Caenorhabditis elegans: one gene and its partner. The protein of the gene in region 1 purifies or fractionates together with the protein of each later gene. This does not show direct contact. Each region holds a gene or a part of one and is shown on either strand. Other genes may lie near its edges.

What was found.
Region 2: the proteins of lec-8 (region 1) and gmap-2 fractionate together in Caenorhabditis elegans (co-fractionation; one large-scale study listed by BioGRID). This does not show direct contact.

The regions. Positions count from the first base shown.
Region 1 is NC_003284.9:9,846,217-9,856,473, reverse strand, and holds lec-8 (putative galaptin lec-8), read right to left. Parts: upstream 5,904-10,257; 5' UTR 5,868-5,903; coding exon 5,847-5,867; intron 5,782-5,846; coding exon 5,500-5,781; intron 5,453-5,499; coding exon 5,213-5,452; 3' UTR 5,138-5,212; downstream 1-5,137. Other genes in the region: putative galaptin lec-7, read right to left, coding at 3,565-3,801, 3,845-4,037, 4,085-4,173, 4,221-4,241; Homeobox protein vab-15, read right to left, coding at 7,361-7,504, 8,551-8,762, 8,814-8,926, 8,975-9,183.
Region 2 is NC_003284.9:12,936,313-12,947,467, forward strand, and holds gmap-2 (GM2 Activator Protein family member), read right to left. Parts: upstream 6,955-11,155; 5' UTR 6,948-6,954; coding exon 6,842-6,947; intron 6,792-6,841; coding exon 6,694-6,791; intron 6,591-6,693; coding exon 6,451-6,590; intron 6,228-6,450; exon of another isoform or gene 6,146-6,227; intron 5,996-6,145; coding exon 5,896-5,995; intron 5,842-5,895; coding exon 5,725-5,841; intron 5,679-5,724; coding exon 5,602-5,678; intron 5,427-5,601; coding exon 5,240-5,426; 3' UTR 5,130-5,239; downstream 1-5,129. Other genes in the region: gmap-3 (GM2 Activator Protein family member), read right to left, coding at 2,438-2,557, 2,614-2,745, 2,791-3,001, 3,056-3,171, 4,075-4,196, 4,240-4,399; nssp-88 (Neuropeptide-Like Protein), read right to left, coding at 9,304-9,459, 9,540-9,629, 9,927-10,028, 10,077-10,136, 10,188-10,250.

The DNA of each region.
Region 1 (10,257 bases):
TTGTTTCTGGTCGCCCGACCCAAATCCAAATCCCAATCGGGTCCGCAGCCTCCCAGGTTAGGAAATTGGAGAGCTGTGTGTATAAAGAAATCCTATATTCTGAATTCATTTGGTGGAGCGATGAAGGGAACAAATTATAAAAGGCTTAGTAAGGGAAAATATAATTTAGCTTTTTTTTTCAGAAAAGTGAAAAAAATACTAGCTTGTGTGTGAAAACACTATGATATGCGTGGCTAAAAATTGACAAAAAAATGAAAGGCTATCGGAGCTCTGCTTCATTTCTGCTTCAGCGTTGAATTTCAATGACACTTGAGTGGATGTCATGAAGGCGTGAAGAAGATCTTCTGGCTGGTTATATTTGAAAAAAAATGACAAGAAAAATGTTGTAAGGGGGAATAAAAGTGAATGTGAAATGATCATTGCGTTATATAGAGCACATGTATGAGAACATATTTACCAGTCGGTAGCACTACTTTTTTAAGTTAGTCAGCCAAGCAAACTTTGAGCTAAGATCAAGTTTACTCAATCTTTTTATTTGATACTTGACGTACAGTTTGCAGTTCGAGCCTGCAAAGAGACACAGAAATAGATGATGTCGAGTAACTTTTAAAAATCAAAAAGGTTAATTTAACAAACAAAAGGCAGAACTAAGATACTGTAGAGACACTCTGTGCAAAGCTTAACAAAAAGTTGAAATCCAAAAAGAAAAGATGTTAGTCACTAGTTACAAACTAATATTTTTTTGATTTGAACTTTTGAGACGTCGAATGAATAAATTTAAATGACACTGGAGCAGTGAATTATGTATGTCTTCTATACTTCATATATTTTCTCATTTAAGGTAAAAATCACTCCGTCAATCAAAAAAAAACTCAATTGTTGTTTAAAGGAAGACTAACTGTTTGGACGATTATGAACGTATAGACCCAAATTGTGCCCAAATGAACGGAAACTGCTCAAATTTTTTTCAAAATTTTTTATGGCGGTTCAAAATTTCGAAAAAATTACACCGATTTTAGCTAAAATTTCAAATTTTGTAAATCTGTGATACGGAGAAGTTGGCAAAATTTGAGATGTTGGTTGAAATAGTGTAATTTTTCGATAATTAAAAAACACTATAACATCGTTTTGTTAAAGATTCCCATTACGAAATTGCATTTTTTGGATTGAATCGTTCCCAATAGTCCAGACCGTTAATGATCCTTTAAATTTTCAAGTTGTCTTGAAAAACATCATCAACAAGGTAGCAATTTTCACTTGCTTTCTAACAGTTAAGTCATCTTTAAAGTTGTTCCTGAAATATTTGTTTCGTTGATGCTTTAGAGATTCACAAGCTAAATGGGAATCTAACCGGCTGAAGTGTTTTCCTAATTGCGTTTATTGCCTTTCAAATCTTGTCTCGTTTTGTCGTCTTGAGTTTTATTGCCATGAAAAACAAGGCAATCTCGAACTTAAGAGATTCAGATAAACATTTCTAGTCACAAGTGGAAAAAACTAATAAGGGAGAAATCATTATTTGTGGTCATCATTTGTGGAACCTCGACAAGTACAAAACTTATATTTTATCTGTAGGTCATATTGCAATTGACTTAGTCGAGACATGTTCATTATGATATTAACTAAACTATTTTCAAATTCTTGTTTAAAAAAAACTAAAAAAGACATTTTTGACAAGCCATATCAGTTATGCAAGTTTGAGAATGAAAATTACGAATACTAATAATAAATTAAAAACACAATGTTCCCGATTTCTCCAATAGGCGTCTCAACACTGACATCATTGCTTCCATCAGCGGTATTTGGAAGACAAAGCAAATAAAAGTTTTTGGGGAAAAAGTTGGTAAACTCAGCAAACCGGGAATAAGTTTTCTCCCTTCTGAAACCCAATTTTCTTTCGCCTTATGGGTGCAATTCAAAATTGAATGAACTATGCATGTGCATCCCATTTCGGCAGACATTATACTCTATGAGAGATTAAATTGAAAATTAAAGAACGTTCTCTTAGTAAACTATTAAGAGGCGTGAGTGAGAGATGTTGGAAGATCACAGATATGATGAGATCAAAAATCTTGATTTCTACCTCTCTTTGCATATCGAGATATAAAATGGAAAGATGAGAAAGGAAGAGATGGAGCAGTATGAAATGGATAAGGAGGTTCTGTTATGTTTTTTGCTTTATAAAAAAATTGATGAGAAAAAGAGAATACACAAAAGAGGTCGCATAGAGACCGCATAAAAATTGGGGGATACATTTTGAGGCATGATTTATGATGTCGGAAATGAATTGATTCCTTTTTTTCTTCTACACGCACTTGGTCCGCAGTGAGGTTAGAAGGCTAACATAGCATTCACAAAATGAATTGCGATCTAGACTATAAAAAAACAAAACAAAATAGACAAAAACGCTCACGCTACCATTTCCTCTATTCGGGTTAAGATAGAATGGAAAAAGTTGAAAGAGTGGAGGATTGAATGAACAAGTTGGAAGGCGTAGTACTTGAAAAATGAGCAGTAGTTGTAGTAGACTAATGAATTTTTCCTTGTTGCCGCCTTATTTTGTGGTCTAGCGGATTGCACTTTATGGTGACTTTCAATTAAGAAAGATACCTTTTTTAAATGCGGGTAATAAAAGTGAGAACGGAAAAGTGCAGAAATAGCTCAAAAGTGCAAAGAAAATGTAAGAAAGTGGAACAAAGCAAACAAAAAGCTACAATCGAATCCGTTCTTCGACGGGGTAGCTACAAACCAAAGTTGGAAAAACCAACATGACGTTTTGAGAAAAATGAACATCGATCTGTCATTTTTCAATGACATTATTCCTCATTATTTTGAGTTACTACAAGTTTGTCTAATTGAGAAAGTGAGACCCTCATTCAATACTGAAGCACAGAGAAATAATTTGTTCGGCTGTTGTAAGCAATGATTAAAAACAATTATTATGTTTAGTATTGATCTGAATATTTAAAATGATTGAATCTCATGTGCAAGCAACTTTATAATTTGCCCGATGAAGTATAATGTGACTGGGAGCTAAAAATGGAAGAATAAAACATGCCAAAACAATTTTGGTAGTTTTTTGTAATAGCTTTGTTCCAAAATGCTAAACATTTTTTGTAACAAAAACTTGACTCCTTTCTGAATTTTTATACTTCGGAATAATTATTTCTTAGACTGAATAAAACAAGACTTTGAAAAAATTAAAATATTAGCTAATTACGGAGAGTTAATCCATGAAAAATGTTGGGCTACTACTGTCATAGTAGTACTATGTACAGCTACGAAAAATATTCGCATTTTTTATTGTTGTTTGCTTTTCTGAATATTAGCGCTTGTTTATGACAGATGAAAATTACATTGCTTTTGTAGTTTTGACAATTAGCTTGCGAGCTCACGATCTACCAAACATGTAAGTTTTATTCCTGCTTTTTATTTCATTATATCAGGTTCTGATAACTAGAATAATAACATTTATAACAAAACTTTTGATATGTGTATTTATTCAGGAAACAAAACATATAATACGTTTCTTCAGGAATAGTAAGTTAATGGTATACATATAGCTAATCAATAATGTTGAGTTCCCTCAATTTGAACAACTGATGGAGCGTTTGTCACGGTATCATATGCTTCACACACGGCCTCATTTACAATTGCATGACGCTTTTTCCACTCTGTTTTGAACTCATATCCTTTGAACACAATTGATTCAATATCGACTGATCCTTTGATTCCAATTCCTTGCACTGCTACGACCGGGAACCGATGATCAAACTCAACCAATAGATCACTGTTCACAGTTATCTGAAATAATATAATTCTCAGTGAAAACTGATACCAAACAAACATTATAGTATCCCTCGTGAACATAAATTCTGACATGGAAAGGATCATGACGTTTGAGAAAGTGGCTATGTCGGAGCTGAGGGCCCCATTCGCCATTTATTAGACTGTTCAAAACAATTGAATGTTCTCCATTGAACTCAAATTTAACATGGAGAACTATATTGGTACCACTGAGAAGTTCGATTGCAAAATCCCTGAAAATAAATAAACAATTATGCCAAACTACTGAAAATTCGAATACCTGTCATTCCCATGCAAAACAGCTCCATTTACTTCAATTTCAACGCCTGCTTTTAGGTTTTCCTCAATTTGATACACACTCGGAACTTTCTGAAAAATTTCAAGGCACTGAAAAACTTACAAAACAGTCTACTTACCGGGTTTTCAATAACATACATGTTGTCTCGAATAGTTGTTTCAACTTAACTTAACCATTTTTTTCTCACTTTTTATACTTTTCACCTTGTTTTTGTGCTCCCGGTTGCGAACCATGTTTACTTTTTGTCATCATCGTCGAGCTGTGTGTCAACATTATTTGAAAATGTTTGATCTTTTCTTACTCGACCTTAGTCATCGTCTCAAGAATTGCCTGTTGCCGAAATAGTAAAATAGAACTTTGTTGCTGGAATGGAACTGACTTTCGGGCATTTTTGAGATGTTTGCATTACGCAATCATAAGGTGCGAATGTCGTTTAGGGTTTTTGTATTTTGACTTTTTAGACTGTATGATAAGGAAACATTTCGAAAACGGAATAGATGCTGGCAAGGTGGTTTCAGATTTCGAAGTAAAAGTGAATTTGAAAGTTTCTAGCTGTTGAATAACGATGAACCAGTTTCTAATTACATTTTGCGTTGGTTTCGAGTATATTTTCTTTGCGTTGGTTTTGAGTATATAATTTGAAAGATTTTTCCATTGGAAAGAAATCACTTACTTTCGGTTCATATCTTGAATTGTATCTATGGACAAAATAATACTAAATTTGTGGACCCGTTGACATAAAAAACACCTTAACCTACTGAACAACACGTAGTGAACTACGTCCATGTGCAGTAAAAAAATTTCCATAAATGTTCATTTCCGAAAGGTCGAACTTTGTAATGTGAATTTTCAGCCAGAATGGGCATTGTTCTAAACGTGGAACTGTGGTAACTTTTTTTTCTGAAATGTTTTCAAGACGTCTCATTTTAAAATTTGGTTGTTTTGGGAAATTGCGAGTCTAATTTACAAGAACTCAAAGTTCGCTATTCAACACATATCTTTATTTATTCTGATTTGATGTTGCTTTAAAAAAATCCAATTGAATGTTTATTGGTGAATCACTCAGAATTAAAAGAACAATAATTCATACTGACACAATTTACAAAATCTTTAGAAGTAGGCGTTGTAGGAGTGAGTCTCTTGGAAAACTGGAGCAACATAGGTTTCAGTACCATAGGAATTGTAGCCAGCATGTCCAAAATCATGTTGAGAGTTCCAGTCAACTCCAAATTCAAATCCAGAGAAAGAGATCTCATCGATATGCGCGGCTCCTTTGAGTCCAATTGCTTGAACTGATTCAACTGGGAAACGGTGTGGGAAGTCGGCGAGGTGCTCTCCGTTCACAGAGATCTGAAATGTTATCATAATTCCAACTTTTCGATGATTGCATCGCTTACATGATAGTATCCTTCGTGAACATGGATGGAGAGGTTAAAGTGATCGTGGTGCTTGAGCGGGTTGTGGTGACGGATTTCGGCTCCCCATGCTCCGTTTGTGCAAGTATTCATTGCAACAATGTGGTCATGCTCAAAACGGAAGTTGACGTGAAGAACGATATGGGGTCCAGAGAGAAGCTCTACAGAAAAGTCTTTGTGGTGCTTGTGGGTAACATGACCACGGACATGGATTTCAGATCCAGCACGAAGTTGCTCACGGATAGCATGAGCGCTTGGAACATCCTGAAGAGTATAACTTTATTATTTCTATAACATGGTATGATAAAAGTTTTAGAAAGTTAACTGACCGGGCTATTAATGGTATGCATGGTTGATGATAGATGGAAGACGGTTTGCAGTACTGCGTTCTTTTAGATATTGTACCTCCTTTTTATACGACTCGTTTGTTTGAACACTCAACGTTGCATTAATCATTCGATAAAACCAATGTTTGACAGATAGATTATGGACGTTTGTGAGAAGTTGAGAAATCGAGAATTTGAGAAAGAGCTGTGAAATGTTGAGTTTCGGTGATAAGAGGAGTCAAATGTTATTGCTAATCAACGTGTCGTGACTTTTAGAATATTGAAAAAATAAGATGGTATTTCAAGGAATTTTAACATCGATCTTTAATTTCACTGTGTCGCAAATGAGGCGAGTAAGTAATGAGGCGCTTCGATTTATTTTATCGTTTTGCTGATTCACATTTCAAACAGTTTGACGTTGTGGAAGAACGAAGTGACTCATTTTTTGATTGGCCGGAAATAGTACCAATATGCCAATCGCAAGATTTATTATCAACAGGACAGCGTTTCCAAGTTAAATTACAGTCGTCTGAAACTGTTATTAGGTAGTTTTTTCTTTTACCAAGTTTCTTATAATTAATTGGCAAAAGAAGTTGGTACTGTAGCTTTTCAAAACTGGTTAGTCCATAAAATATTGTGAAAAGCGTAATACTTAGGAAACGAAACAATTTTAAATGGTGACTAAAGTATTGGCTAAACATCGTTTTTAAGTTTTTACGAACTACAATTTTATGACTACAAAGGATTTGCAATTTGTATTTTAATTCAATTTCTCTTTTGTTTACATGCTGATTACAGTTTTTTCGCAGAATAATTAACAATGAATATTAATGTTTGCATTATTATTTATTACAGTAAATTAAAAAAAAATTGTTTCTGTAAGCAAAATTACAAGCAAAAGCTAGTGTATTGGGAAACATAAAAACAGGGAGAATGACATAAGGAAATATAAACAAGTGGCGCTAAACATTTAAGTTTTTAACCTATTCATTTTTAAAGAGATCACATGTATTTTGCAACTTTAGATGATTAATAAAACAGTTTGCTAACGAATAAAGAAAATGTGCAAAATGAAAAGCGAATTAGCCCACAACACAATGTGAAAGAAATGGGGAACAAGTTCAGGAATGTGGAATTGCATATAGTTTTTTTTGTTGGAACCGGACTAATAACTGAATGTTGAGCATTGTTTTTGAGGCCAATCAAGAGGTGTGAAGGAATCATTCAATTTTGGTAGGCTCAATGGTAATTAACAATTTTGTGAAATGACTTATTGGCTGGTTTAGAGACTAGGTTTTGGGAGGGATAAGTATTATACAGTAAGACAAAAATGCCCACATACGTGTCTACAAAGCATGCCTACTTTGTTCGAAAGGCAACCTCTCTAGTGGAGTCACAGTAACTTTTATGGCAAAGTAGGTCTTGCCTATCTTTAAGGCACGGTTTAAGGCATGCATTGTAGACATGACGGTGGGTATTTCTGTCACCGCGGAAAAGGAAGTGATGTTATGCGGTCACTACCACTGAGGTTGGTAAAATGCCAAAATGCTGGATGGATCTGGTGCTCCGCCAACTGCAGCTGCTGCGTAAGCACTGGCCTGTGCAAACTTCACTTTTTCCACTTCAGCTTCCTGTAGTCTTTTTGATTTAGCCCTTCGATTCTGTAATTGATCTATTTAATTAATGTTTCCAAAACTTTCTTTTTCTTTATATTTTTGGCGTCAAGCTGTGAAATCAAATTCCGCAACTTCAAATTCATTGCCAAATTCCGCAATCTTTTAGATCATTTATCATATCATTAACACCTTATTGAGGGAAATTTGATAGATTCTGATAACATTGACCTTGGTTTTTTTTGTTGTGAAACTGAATACTAAGAAAACTAAAAAAAATTGACAGGTGTTAATGTGTTGGAAATAGTAAATCAAGGTTGTAGATGCAGATGGTAAAGAAGTATTCCCTCACAACGTAATGGTATTTCGTCTAATTTTATGGGCAATCACATATTTGACTGATTGAGAAACCAAAATAAAGCATGTATGAGCAGATGACTATGTGACAATTAGCTTACGTCATTGACACCATTGTGTACGTTCCCCCGAACCGAAAATTTGAAGGATAGGTTGGACCCCCTTCACATGAATTGATTCAAGAAGATGTGCAGTTGCAATATTTACCAATTACGTGATGATGAAGGTCAATTAACCGCGCCATCATCTGCCACCACTACACCACGCGCCTGATCCGAAATATATTGATACTGTAGAAACAGGAGAAAAGACAGCTGTCACAACACAACAGCTACTTGACAAGTCAGACGGAATGCAAAAGGAGAAAGTGTCAGATCTCGTTAGTCACCTTTTTTAATGAACGAGCATTTTATCTTCCTATGTGTCGGCTTTTTTTGTTTTTCTTCTTATTTCAGCCCAAAAGATAAGATCGTTTTGACAACAGGTGTGAAGAATTCCGTTCTGGAATCTATTCCATGAATCGGATCGGGTTGGAGAAGAATTACAGAGAGACGTGAAGGTCAATGTTATCGGCGGGATCACGAGAAGGCAAGGGGATACGCAACGCATTTACGAACACCATAATTATGAGGAGCGTGTCAAGTTATTGATAGAATCTATTGAGAGGCATACTGTCACTTATGATTTAATGAATTGTTCAGGACTGCATTCGAGTGCTGAGAAAAATTAATACTAACCTGGAACCAAATTTTGACTTGTGTCTCTGTCAATTGCAATGATGCGCTAAACTCTGCTCTTTCCGCAATTGACAGGTACTGTTTTGATTGAAACTTTCTTTCCAAAGAAATAAGTTGTTGAGTAGAGAATGGGGTACGTGGCTTTCTATTGTTCTTGTGTTTCCTTAACATGCACTTGGAAAGCCCTATTTGAATCTTGGCGTCATCGCTAGCTGTAAACGCCAATTAATTGAAAAGGAAACGAATCTTGGATTTTCGCTTACTTGGTGAATCTTCTCGCTGAGATGATAGCCATTGAAGTGAATGTTGCATAGACAGTGGAGACGAGGCACAGGATTCAGGTGAACTGTCGGAGCTTACTATTGGCAGCCGGTTTCTGAAACGCAATAGAATGATTGACTTCTAAAAAAAGTTGTTCACTTACCCGGTCTGAGCGAAATATATCATCACAGGATCCAATTGAGCGCCGAAGTATGGAGTCATAGGATGTAATCCTGGTATTAGCATAGGAGTTTTTGGCGTAATTGGCGTAGGTTTTGGTAAATCTTCACGACATTTTTGTTTGGGTGTTTCAAGTAGACTCTCTACACTGAATAATCCTGATTGCTTTGGTTTTTCATCTTTCGACACCATTGTTCTAATAATATCTGTAATAAAATAATCAATGTCTTTGAGAAAAGATTCATTACGACGGATTAGAGAGAATTGATCATAAAAATAATCTGCAAAGGATGAGGGAACACTGAATGCGTAACAACATATGTTACCGTAATAATAATTGAGCAAAAGAAGGGATTTAGAGAAAACGGAGCGACGGAGAGGATACTCTTGTAATTAATAGTCAAAGCTCTATGAGCCTCTATGAAACGGCGACAGGAAGTATAAGAAGGCGGGAAGTGGTGCGCATCGCTTAAGGATAGGATAAATTGCAAAGCAAACAAAAAATCAGATGGGGTTTACGGTAGGAATCATTGCTGGAAAATAAAAGGAGGAGCCCCTTATAAGCAGATGTGTTGACCAATATAACACCACGCGCTTATTGCAATCCTTAATGACATTAGCACCTTGCTTTATTTATTGCCACGTGACATCGATCTCCGTTTATAGCTTTATCCAATATCGTCATTAGCTGATTCAGATGGGATGAGAGGGAGGTGTCAAAGAGGCGCCAAAAAGCAAAAACAATGAAAGAAGTGGCAACAACACCAAAATAATCAACGTCTCATCAACTCAAACGGGGGAAATTGGAACTAAATGAAGTTGGTAGTGGTGAGGAAGGAGAATTGTTGGAATTGTTGGAATTCGAGCCAACAAAACATAATTGTTTAGAGTTGTGAGGTTGGCTTTCTCCTTTTGAAACTTGTCTGTTACCACCAACCCACAAGAAAGTAATTATGTCATTATGTGATGAGAGCCAAAACGGGGCGTAGAGAGTTTTACGACGCAACAATTATCACAAATATTTTTGAGTCCCTCATTTTCCACACTCTTGAAATTACACTTTTATTGGGTACGTCCGGCTCATTAGCTTATTAACTTATTACTAACTGGCAAGTTCGAGAACAGGAAATGATGCTCAAGCCATAAAACAAAAAGAGCCATTGTGAAAACTGGCCGCTCTAGAAGTTTACCATCGTCTGGAAAGCATAGAAAAGTAGTATCCCCAATTAGAGCACAGAAATCAAAAGTGAAAAGAAAGTGTGCAAT
Region 2 (11,155 bases), 3.1 Mb from region 1:
ATTTTCTTCAAAAGCATCAAATTGAAGATGGCTAACCACACGAGAACAAAGAAAATGGCCACAACAGAAAGGAATGCCGTACTTTCAATACTACTGTTTCATTGTGAATACTGAATGCGAAATTTGAAATTGCTTTTTCTCAACTGCTATTTCAGGTTTTCAGAACATCTGACCTACCATTAAAACATTAATACTATTCAACTCTTGTTCAATTCAAGTGAAGTAAAAAGTGAAAATATCAAAACTGGTTGTTTTTTCAAAGTCTGAAGTACTTGAAAATTAAATATCTAGAGGGTAGATAAGTACAGAAAAAATAGTAGAATATTGACTGAATCAAAATTCTTGGCCACCAATTGCTCATAATTTCAGCTTGATTTTTTTTTAAAATTTGTGTCCAATATTAGTGGCAGAAAACTGAAAAAAAACCTTGGATTTGCTTTTTAAAACTTAGTGGCACAAATCACAATAGATCGAACGTCGCTGTGTTTTATCTTGAAAGGTGTATTTCAGATGATGAAAAAGTAATTTTGACATTTTTGAAAGAGCGAATATTCATATTTCAAGTTCGGACGGATTTACTGTATTTAAAAAATACGTCATCAAACTTTCGATTTGCCGAAAAGTTTAGTCAGAGATTTGGTATTATGACTGTTTGAGCATTTGCAATCATGATTTTTTTTTGCCAATTTTAGTATAATTTTAATATTTTCAAACATTATTCCCCTGCCAGGAAACTCTTCCTTTAACGAGTAATTTCATGCTGGGAAACAGGTAAACATATAAATAATGTTCTTTTTGAAGTCTTGCTGCTTATTAGAAAAATATAAAATATTTCTACCTGCAGTCGATTGTAATCTAACAACATCCATAATTGTTTCTTTTGGGAAACCGATTAAGATCCACAGGGTGGCCGATTGTCAGCGGTCTTGTTCTCTTTATGGCAAATGAGTGGTAATTGAAAAAGATTAATAAGAAGAATAATGGGTTTACCAAAAATAATATAAAAATGAAACTCTCAATAACAGTAAACTGAATCATTGGTATCAAAGGGCAGGTCTTATAATCATACATTTTGAAGATTGATTACCATGAGTTCAAGCACTTTACAAAGTTAGTATTGCAATTAGTACTGAAATATATTTGTTTCAAACTCCCAGTATTTTAATAAATGTCTTCAAAAAATTGAATTTTGTTAATAAAAATAGTGATCTCTCGGAAATTAGTTTTGCAGACTTCAGTCATTCTTTTTGTTTGCGCCGAACAGCTAGCCGCCCTTTTGCTCACTCTTAAGGAAGCTCCAATGCTCTTGATAAGTGCATAAGCAAACGCAACATGTCCATCAAAAGCTAGCTTATTGTCAACTCGGAGAAACTTCTTGAAGATCGCTGGGTTCCATGGTGTAGCGGTTAGCACTCAGGACTTTGAATCCTGCGACCCGAGTTCAAATCTCGGTGGAACCTATCTTTTTTGAATATATTTATGGTTTGTTCTGGAGGTTTTTTTAGTTGTACAAACTCTGTTGCAAGTGCTACTGTAGTTATCAATTAATCGGGTAGAAACAATTGTAGCAACAGAATACACTAATTAAGTTTCACACAGAAAAAAGATGTTTACCAAAGATAAAGTTTTTGAAACCCGAAAAAAGGTATATGGAAACTACATTAACACAGAATTGTTATCCATAAAACTTTGCTATCAGAATTGACATTTAGAAATGTTGATCGCTGCGATAGACACTCTTTAGCACATTGTAGCCGCTCATGTGCTCACTGCTAACTGAGCGACTGGGCCTTCCCGATAAGTGCATTAGCAAACTCAGCATGTCTATTAACCGAATGTTCTTTCGGAGCAAGTTCTCGAAGCTCACCGGGTTCCATGGTGTAGCGGTTAGCACTCAGGACTTTGAATCCTGCGACCCGAGTTCAAATCTCGGTGGAACCTATCTTTTTTGGATAAATTTTGATCTTTTCTTGTCCATTGTGTCATTTCTATAGTGAGCGGCACTATGGTTATCAATGAGTTGTAACAAAATCATACATTTTTAGGCTCCATGGAACATTTATATTAACAGTCGGTTTTTAAGTATAGCTCGCAAGATAAAATGTGTAACCCATAATATAATAAAACAGGTTCTTGCTCTGAAAATATTTGACTAATTTAAAAATGTAATACAAAGTAATGGCCGGGTCTCAGTTTTTATACTGTTTAGTTTGAAGTCCATAAAATTGTTTGTGTTGTCAAACTTTTGCCACCCACAGAAATAGCTTCCTTGTTATTTTCTTTGCTGAATTTGATTGTTATAAATCTTCCTTTGCACGTATTATTTCACGTCAACTGTTTCATGGGCCACCAAATCGTATGATTTACAGTCACAAAAAATTTCAAAAAATAATAAATTTATTTACAGACAAGCAAAATTAGGTTAGAAAATCACAAATTATTTACGGTTAACTTTCAAGTTTCCGTAAATCTTATGGCATGCCACGTAGCTTTGTTGGTTTTTGATAATTTGATTGAATGGAAGAGACCAGTAGACTTCAGCCGGAAGTTGAGTGTCCTGTAACATTTTTGAAATACTCTTTTAAAAAGAGAAAAATTCAGCTTGTGATTTACCTTGAAAAAACTGTACTTGGTTCTACGGTATACACCCTCGATTTTGATTTGAGTCGCCATTTGTTTGCTGACGTCAGAGTCAAACACGTAGACTGTAGCAAAGATCCCCATAGCACGAACAGAGTTTCCGTCCTGAAATTTCCAGCCAGTTTTTGCTTTTTTGACCTTTAGACTTACATCACCCTGAATCAGCTGCAAGAATGACTCCTTACTAAGCCCTTGTGAGCTGATGACATCATCAATGTCTGGAAGACAGAAAGCAAGCTTCAAGTTGTCATAGCTGCCTTTTTTCAATCCGTCAGCGCAGCTGATTGGTTGACCATCGAGGAGCAGCTGTGCTCGAACTCCTAATTTGTCACCGAATGTTTCACATGCATTGCAGTACAGGCTGAAAAAAAGATAAATCAATATTGTATGACAACATTAATTAATAGCAACAAACCAAGACCCAAATCCTCCACATCCGTTTTCAGGTTGTCGAACACATTTCTCTGGGACAGTATTTTTTTTGGCAGTGTTCTTCAGCTCAAGATAAATGGAGAAATCTCCGCCAAAGTCCTGAAATAGAGAGTTTCAATTTATTTTTTTATGTAGCTTTATTGTTCATTCAAAGTATATACTTAGAGAGTAATAAGAAGTTGTGATGAATTCTTTATTTCTCAGGGTAAGATAATTTTTAAACTTTTGATACGCTACACAAATACTGAAAAAAAACATTAAGTTTTGAATGATATTGATTTAAAATGTTGTCACGTTGTCACGTTGGCATAAAAAAATTCAATTTGCCCAATAATAATTCAGTAAGGTATAATTTAGTGATTTTTAAATTGTACAGACTACATTTAAAGATACAGATTGTGTTGATGTTCTTAAAAACACGGTCTTAAAGGCGGACTAACGGTTCGGACGATTTTGAACGTATAAATCCGAATTGGGCTGGAATGAATAAATTTTGAAAAAAAATACACTGATTTTCGCTAAAATCTCAATTTTCGGCCACTTTTCCGTGTCGCAGCGGTCCGAAGTTGTCTTTTTTGGAATTATCCTCCTGCATCTTTTGGTAATTTTTTATCATCACATTTCATTGATTTAAACCCGATAGGTAACCAAAAATCATCAAAATTGGTTACCTGTCGGCTTTAAATGTGCCTTAATCAATGAAATTGGATGAGATAAACTACCAAAATATGCAATAAAGGGCGATGATTCCAAAAAAGTCAACTACGTCCCCCGCTGCGACACGGAAAAGTTGCCAAAAATCGAGATTTTAGCTAAAATCAGTGTATTTTTTTTTCAAAATTTTGAACCGCCATAAAAAAATTTTGAAAAATTTATCAGAAGTTTCCTTACGAAACTCGTTTATTTGAGCTCATTTTGGGTTTGAACGTTCAAAATCATCCAAACCGTTAGTCCTCCTTCAAGACACGGAATATTAACAAAACAAAAAGCACAATATTTTACCTCTAGAACTTCTACTTGGCCTCCGATAGTAAAACAGTTTGGCTTATCGGCTTGTGGTTCAAGTTTCGGGCCTCTCCTATCATTTCCAGACTCGAATTCTAACTTCTTTGTCCATTTACCACCTGAAAACCAAATAAGCTTTGGTTTAAAATCTCGTAAACCTACTTTTGCATGGTTGATGTTTGATGAGTTCAAGAGTTACACTCAGATCTTTTCCCAACTCAACGTTTTCCAACGCGTTGGAAATGGAAACGAAAAGACACGATGAAGCTAAGAAAACGACCAACATCTGCGACTGAAACCGATGCGCAAATGAAGGTGTCATGGCTTATGAAGTAAGCGACGAGGACGTGCCCTTCTTTCACACCCCTTTTCAGCTGGATTTTAGAATAGTTTACAGTGACGGTGGGGGTGAAAGGGGAATATAGATATGAATTGTACAAATGTGTAATAAAAGTCTGACAGCCATCAAAACCACTTTTCTCGTTTTTTCTTTCTTTTTCGTGTTACTTTTACCTCAATGTGAAATGATTGTCGGATGGCGTTTCGAGGTCATGAAGGTTATGAGATTCTGAAAAGATGAAGAGATTAAAAGAAAAGGAAAGGGGAAAAAAGTAAAAAAAAAGGAAAATAATGAATCAAAAGCCTTATGTCCTTCAACTAGTAGTGAGAACAAATGCAATAAAGTTTTACAGATGTGTTACATAAATATCACTTTATGATCTCTAACCAACAACATATATAGTTCCAGTTTTCCTTACTATTAGTAACTTTGCAAGATTTTTCTGTAGAATTCGTGTACTGTTGTATACACAAGAATAAAAATTCTAGAAGTAAAGGGTATACAGAATACTTTGAACAAAATCCCAGAAACATTTTGAGGCTAGCAAAATATTGAGGTTGTATTGAATAAAATGCATATTGAAGAAATGTAAAAAAACATACTCAAAAGGATACCAGACAAAACTGTTGTTTTTTACACAACGAGTCTTTGAGCACAGTATCACCATAAAGATTGACTGTTATTTATTAAATGTCAAGATCAATTTGCTTATCTAATTCATAATTTTTATTGTGTTTATTTCATAATTCACAAAAAATGAACCCGCATAAACGAAATGAATAAACATGAAGTTATCATCGTTGTTCATCCAAATATATTTTCTTATTTCTTCTTGGCTTGAATGTCGCTCAAGCTAATGGTTCCGTAAAGTTTGTGACATCCAACGAAAACTGACTGCTTTTTGATAATTTGATTGAATGGCAGATTCCAATAAGTTTGAGAGTCAACTGGCTCATCAGCGCCAAGTTTGCGAAGTTCACGGATGCGAGATTCTAGTTTTCGTTGAGAGCTGAAATTATTTCATTTTTCTATTTGTTTAAAAATTTTCTACTCGTGAAAAATAGTGTTATTTTTCATATAGCTGTAATGTATGTGACATATATGTCTCGAATATAGTGAATGGTTGTTAGATGGTATATGAAACTGTAAATCTGGCTAAAACCTATTTAATTTTCAGAACTTACACTAGAAGAGGTTTAATATCCTTGTCGAACAAATAAACGGTCACAAATAGACTAAGCTTTGGTGGACCATTTCCTTCCTGAAACACACTTTTTCTTTCAATAATTATTTTCATTTTGTCAAACCTGAGTAGTAGCAGCTAAAATGTGATCTAACGCGTCTTCTGAAATTCCCTGCCATTCCAACAATGCAGCTAATTTCGGAAGGCAGAAACGGAGTTCAACATTATCATATTCTCCTTTCTAAAAATAGTGTTATTGACTGCATCGTAAATTTTTTTTAACGATGTTGCTCACTTTTAATGGCTCACATCCTGCTGGTTTGCCGTTCACAACAAGTTGAGCTCCGAGAATTTTCGTGAGAGAGTCCAAAGAATCACATGGCCGGCAGTAGAGACTGAAACAGCAGTGTTTACGTCATTTTTTGGAAACAACAAAACAACAAATTTTCAAGTTCGAAAATTTAAATTTCGTAATCATCGAAATACAACTAAATCTTGTTGTTTGAAGTTATAACATAACGACAAATTATGATAGCGTAGTACGTGGAGAGATGGCCGAGCGGTCTAAGGCGCTGGTTTAAGGCACCAGTCCCTTCGGGGGCGTGGGTTCGAATCCCACTCTCTTCAGTTCTTTTTTTTTAATTTATTTTGCAGGTTAAACACTTATGTATGAAATTGTTATAGTTATACTTTTTGTTTTAAGAGTGACCTCTAACTTAAAACTTTTAGGTACTTCACAGCTGTTCATCTATCATTAACTGCTCAAAAGGCTTTTTTTTCATTTCCTAATGTTTTTTCTAGCTCTAGAATCTTGATGATTTCCCTAATATTTCTGTCAATAACTCATTACCATGATCCAACACCTCCACAACCAGTGTCCGGATTGGCATCCCTGCACACTTCCGGTGGTCTTTGAGTGTCACCAGTGGTCGACACGGACAAGTAGATCAACAACTCGTCGCTCACATCCTCATGAATTTTCACTTTTCCCTAAAGAAAATGAATTATTATTATTATTGTAATAACGTCAATCATCAAGCATTGTTATTGTTTTTCAAAAATCAAAATAAAACACTCTTGGGGGCTAACTCACACTAATTGCATAGCACCCTTTCTGTTCAGTTGACTTGAGTAGCGCTCCACTATCCGAGTGGCCACCCTGGAACTCGATTTTGCGGTTCCAGTGAGAACCTGTAACACGTAAAGTATTAAAAAAGTGACAACGATAGTTTAATAATTACTTTTTCTCCATGCACAACTTTGATGTCTATGAAGGTTTAAGTTCAGATACTGAGTCGATGCAAATCCAAACAAAATTGCCAGTAATATCAGGCAGTTTGTAATCATGACAAATCTGTAAGATACCGTTTATGTAAAAATTTACAGAAAGTTACAAGAACAGTATAGAAAAAGTCACAGAAGTCACTGAATTCAAATAGTTCCATCATCGAAACATCTTCATATCTAATATTTGAATCAATCTTAGTTTAGCATTTAATGCAAATGCGGCAAGAAAGTAGCTGTGAAAAAGAAAAATCGTCAAATGGGGCAAAACGATACGAATGGAAGGAACCTGTTACGTAAGCTTAGAGATCTGTCTAAGCATGAAAAAAGAGAATCGGGTATGATATGCATTGTTGAAGGACCTAGACTTTCAATCAAAACGGGACTATGGCAGAGACCACAAGGAAAAATAAACTGAAATAAGGAAGCGAAATGTTCTACGATGACTGACCAGGAGAACATTGAAGATTCCAATGGTCTTTGATTTAGTGTTCACCTCGTCGTCGTCCGCCCTAATTTTTCAACTTGTCATAAAATTTGATTCCTCTGGAATTTCACAAAAGAAAACTAGTTACGAGAACAAGAACTAATGTGGAACTTTTAATGGTGTGTACTAGGTGTGTTTGAGAAGGGAAATATTTGTGACGCTTTACAAAATCAGTGTTCATGTGACTATCTTTTCAAATCGACTTCAAAATGTTGTTTGTAAGAATGGAGACCTAAATGAATGATGGAGTTTGTGGGCAAAAAATCTCAAAAACTACAGAAACAATGTCAGAAATAACGCAACAGTTATTTGTAATTTTATAATACTTCGGTTCTCAACTATAGAATATTTGGGAAACTTAGTGGAAAAATAATACCGCCGGCATATAGAATAACTCTTAAACTACTTTGGACGAATTAATGTTTTAACAGTGGTCGCAAGAGCATTCGAGCTAATGAAGTTTGGCAAACAAAGATTTTTTTGTGGACTACAAATTATGATAGGCATAATACCATTAAGCCCAATAGTGGCTGGGTGAACCTAGGGGGTGAGGCCGGACTTGAACTTATGACCTCCAGATTTCTAGCGGTCACCACTACCGACTGAGCTATCCGCCCCCCGAAATACAATTTTGTAAAGCAAAATTAAAAAATATATCTTTTCATTTTTTCACGTATCAATCATGTTTGCGCAATTTAAAAAATGAACTTTAATGAAAAAAAATCATAAACTTATATAATCTTGCAAAAACCCCTTGATAAGAAAAATGAGTCATTGAACGATTAAAACATAAATAAAAATTTCCACTAGCTTTAACCAAAAGTCCACACTTTTTCATCTTGCGAATACACAGTTTTCACACCCGTCTTTATAATCATTTTATACACTTTCTGTAATGCTGGCAATTCGCTTGAGTGCACTTGAATAGCAAAGGTTCACGCTTGGACAGAAAAGTGTGACGAAAGATATTGTGGAAGGGCAAATGAATGGTGGGCCGACACGCAGGGCAAAAAACGAATAATACTAAGAAATTGTGGAAGACGATAAAGACTGCGAATTGGTCGGAAACGAGAATTTGCCAAGAATCCCCTCATCTCCTTTCACCAACTAACCGCGGATAATAGATAATAGGTGTGAATCATTATTATTCGATCAGGAAACGATGCGCTATGCAAAGTGTTAGCTGGTCTGCTTGCGTTACATTCAGGTATACAATTTTTGCAGGAAATCACGCACATACACATCTGAATGTCACTTTATGTACAGTGTTTTAGACAAAACCAGTTTTAATACTGCGCTTGTGATAGTTGTACCAAATTCTGAATTTGTGAATGGCCAGGTATACATACTAGAGCTTAAAACTGGACTAAATTTTATTTGATCAAAACTGATTAGCAAAATTTTATTACAAATTAAAAGGTTTATTTCACGGTTCATTTAAAGGCGTAGAAATAAATTTGGGCACACATCAACCTACTGAACATGCATTTTAATCAATGGAATAATTGTGCACTAAAATAGTTTTATGACAAAATAACCTTGACAATATTTTAGAAAACTCCAAGATGTAACAAGTGTTAAGTTTAAGGAAGTCCAATGCAAAACCTTATATAAAGGATTAGGCACGTCTTGCAATTATAAAAAAGTATCCCACTGTTGAGCATCTCTTCTGACATTTCAAAAAAAAATTTAACAAAAAAAGGTGTAACCAGACTTGAATTTCCTTTATTAGTAACTGCTCGATTATAAATTTAAATAATCGGGACGTGGTTGAAACGCTTTAATTTTTTAAGCTATACTCGGTTGACAGAAAATAGACTGTTTGTATGATGGAAACTTTGTATCACAGCTCTAACAAAACAGCTTTATTTCACCAAAAGTACAAGGACTGGAGGAAAGAAAAATTGTATCAACTATCTCATTTCTGCACCTTCAACGCCCCCAAAGCCGGCTGCTGAGTTGAAGTTTTGGCCGGATTCCTGCTTTCGCCACCCGCTCCATTTTCAGATTGTCATCAGAAAACACTTCCTCATTTTCAGTCTCATGTTGATTCAACGACTGTCTTGAAGTCTTGGCCAATATTGTGGTCTGCAATCTGATTCGATGAAATCTTGGAAACAAGAATCATAAGTGAACAGGAAGGAGTGGATTCCAAGTAATTTGTTTACCGTTTCGAATTTATTCTCATCTTTGATCGTTTTCTCGGATGATTCCACCGGCCACATCACCATGAAATCTTCAGGAATCAGAGGGATGTCCTGAATTAAATTAAATTGAAATAAATGAAATGAGTCAGTGGTTTATTGAAAACACACTACATTTGATTGCACCTGCTAACTATAAGTTTTAAAATTATTTAGGGATGACAAATTTCCTCGTGATTCTATCTTTGCCAAAAATTAACAATTCCACCTGCATTAAACTCGTGGCCAAAACTTCAAAACATTAGGATTTCTCAAGTGTATCAATAGAATAGTGTTGTTCCAAAAAAAAAAACGCTTTATGTAAATTCAAAAAAAACACAGAAGTGAAGAAGTAAAATTTCCTTGACTCACCCTTTCAAAATTCCTCAGCCCTGAAGCATGTGCCCGTTTGCCCCAAAGAATACTGGACCTGCGGAGCTCCCCGTTTATAGCTCGTTTGTGCGTGATGAACCTCTGAATTTAGATTTTAAAATAAAAAATCTGACATCCATGAAAGCTTACATCAAAATGCGCCATGTCGTCACCACCCCCAATGCCTCCAAACTTCCTCATTTTCCAATCCTAAACATTTTGCGAATAATTCATAAGTTTGACTATTTTTGGTGTCCCTACCTGATTGGCCATGGTGACCCCAGCGAAGAAGAAAGCAATCAGAATAAAGAAGGTGTACTGCATGTCGTCCTGTGAAGTACAAGTATAATTCTCAGAGATTAATTTTTTTGGGAATGGAATTAAGAAAAAGTGTGAGCCGGGTGATTTTAACTGGCAGTTAATGAAACCGATTTTAGCGCAGGAGCAATTTGATTTTGTCTTCACCTGTTTTGTTAAAACAAGGGGCGGAGCTTTGAATGCAGAAAGAGAGAGAAGGTTAATTCGGAAATGAAGAATCTTGATAGACTACCCGGAATTTTAAAAACATCAGTATAAATTAAAACTGAGTGTGAAAAATAAAGCGAAGGAAAAGGCAAAAGACAAAAAAAAAGCAAAATATAAGTGTGACCACTCATCGAAAATTAGAGGATACCTAGGTTCGGAAAAAAATGACGTGCTCCTCACTGGCTTGCAAATCATACTAATCATGTTTTCCAGGTGAATTATTTATGAGTGGGGAGACAAGACTCTCCCCCCCCCCCCCCCCGCCCAAATGGTTTAGTACTGGTTCCTAATTGCTCCTTGGAAAAACGAAACGACTTTATTATCGTAGTTGGAGCAAGAAGTCTTCAAAGGATCTTTGGAAATTTGATGACAATTGGTAGTATACAGAGGGAAAACAGAACAAGGGACAAAGATAGATAGGGGAGGAGGAATTAGAGAGAGAGAGCAAAAAACTTTTAAACATTTTTAGATAATCAACTTGGTTTGCTGTTTTCATTAACATTCTACGAGGAGATCAGAAACGTGATGATTTGGGAGAATAAAATGAGTATAAGAATGTACTCGCGGGCTGGAAAACGTAAGTTCGGAAAACAACTAAAACCAGGAGTTTTTCCACAAAAGAGTTAAAAAATGCTCTTGACCTATAGCATGCAACATATCATCGTGTTATTTTTGAATTGCAGATGCTAGTTGATAGTCAGTCT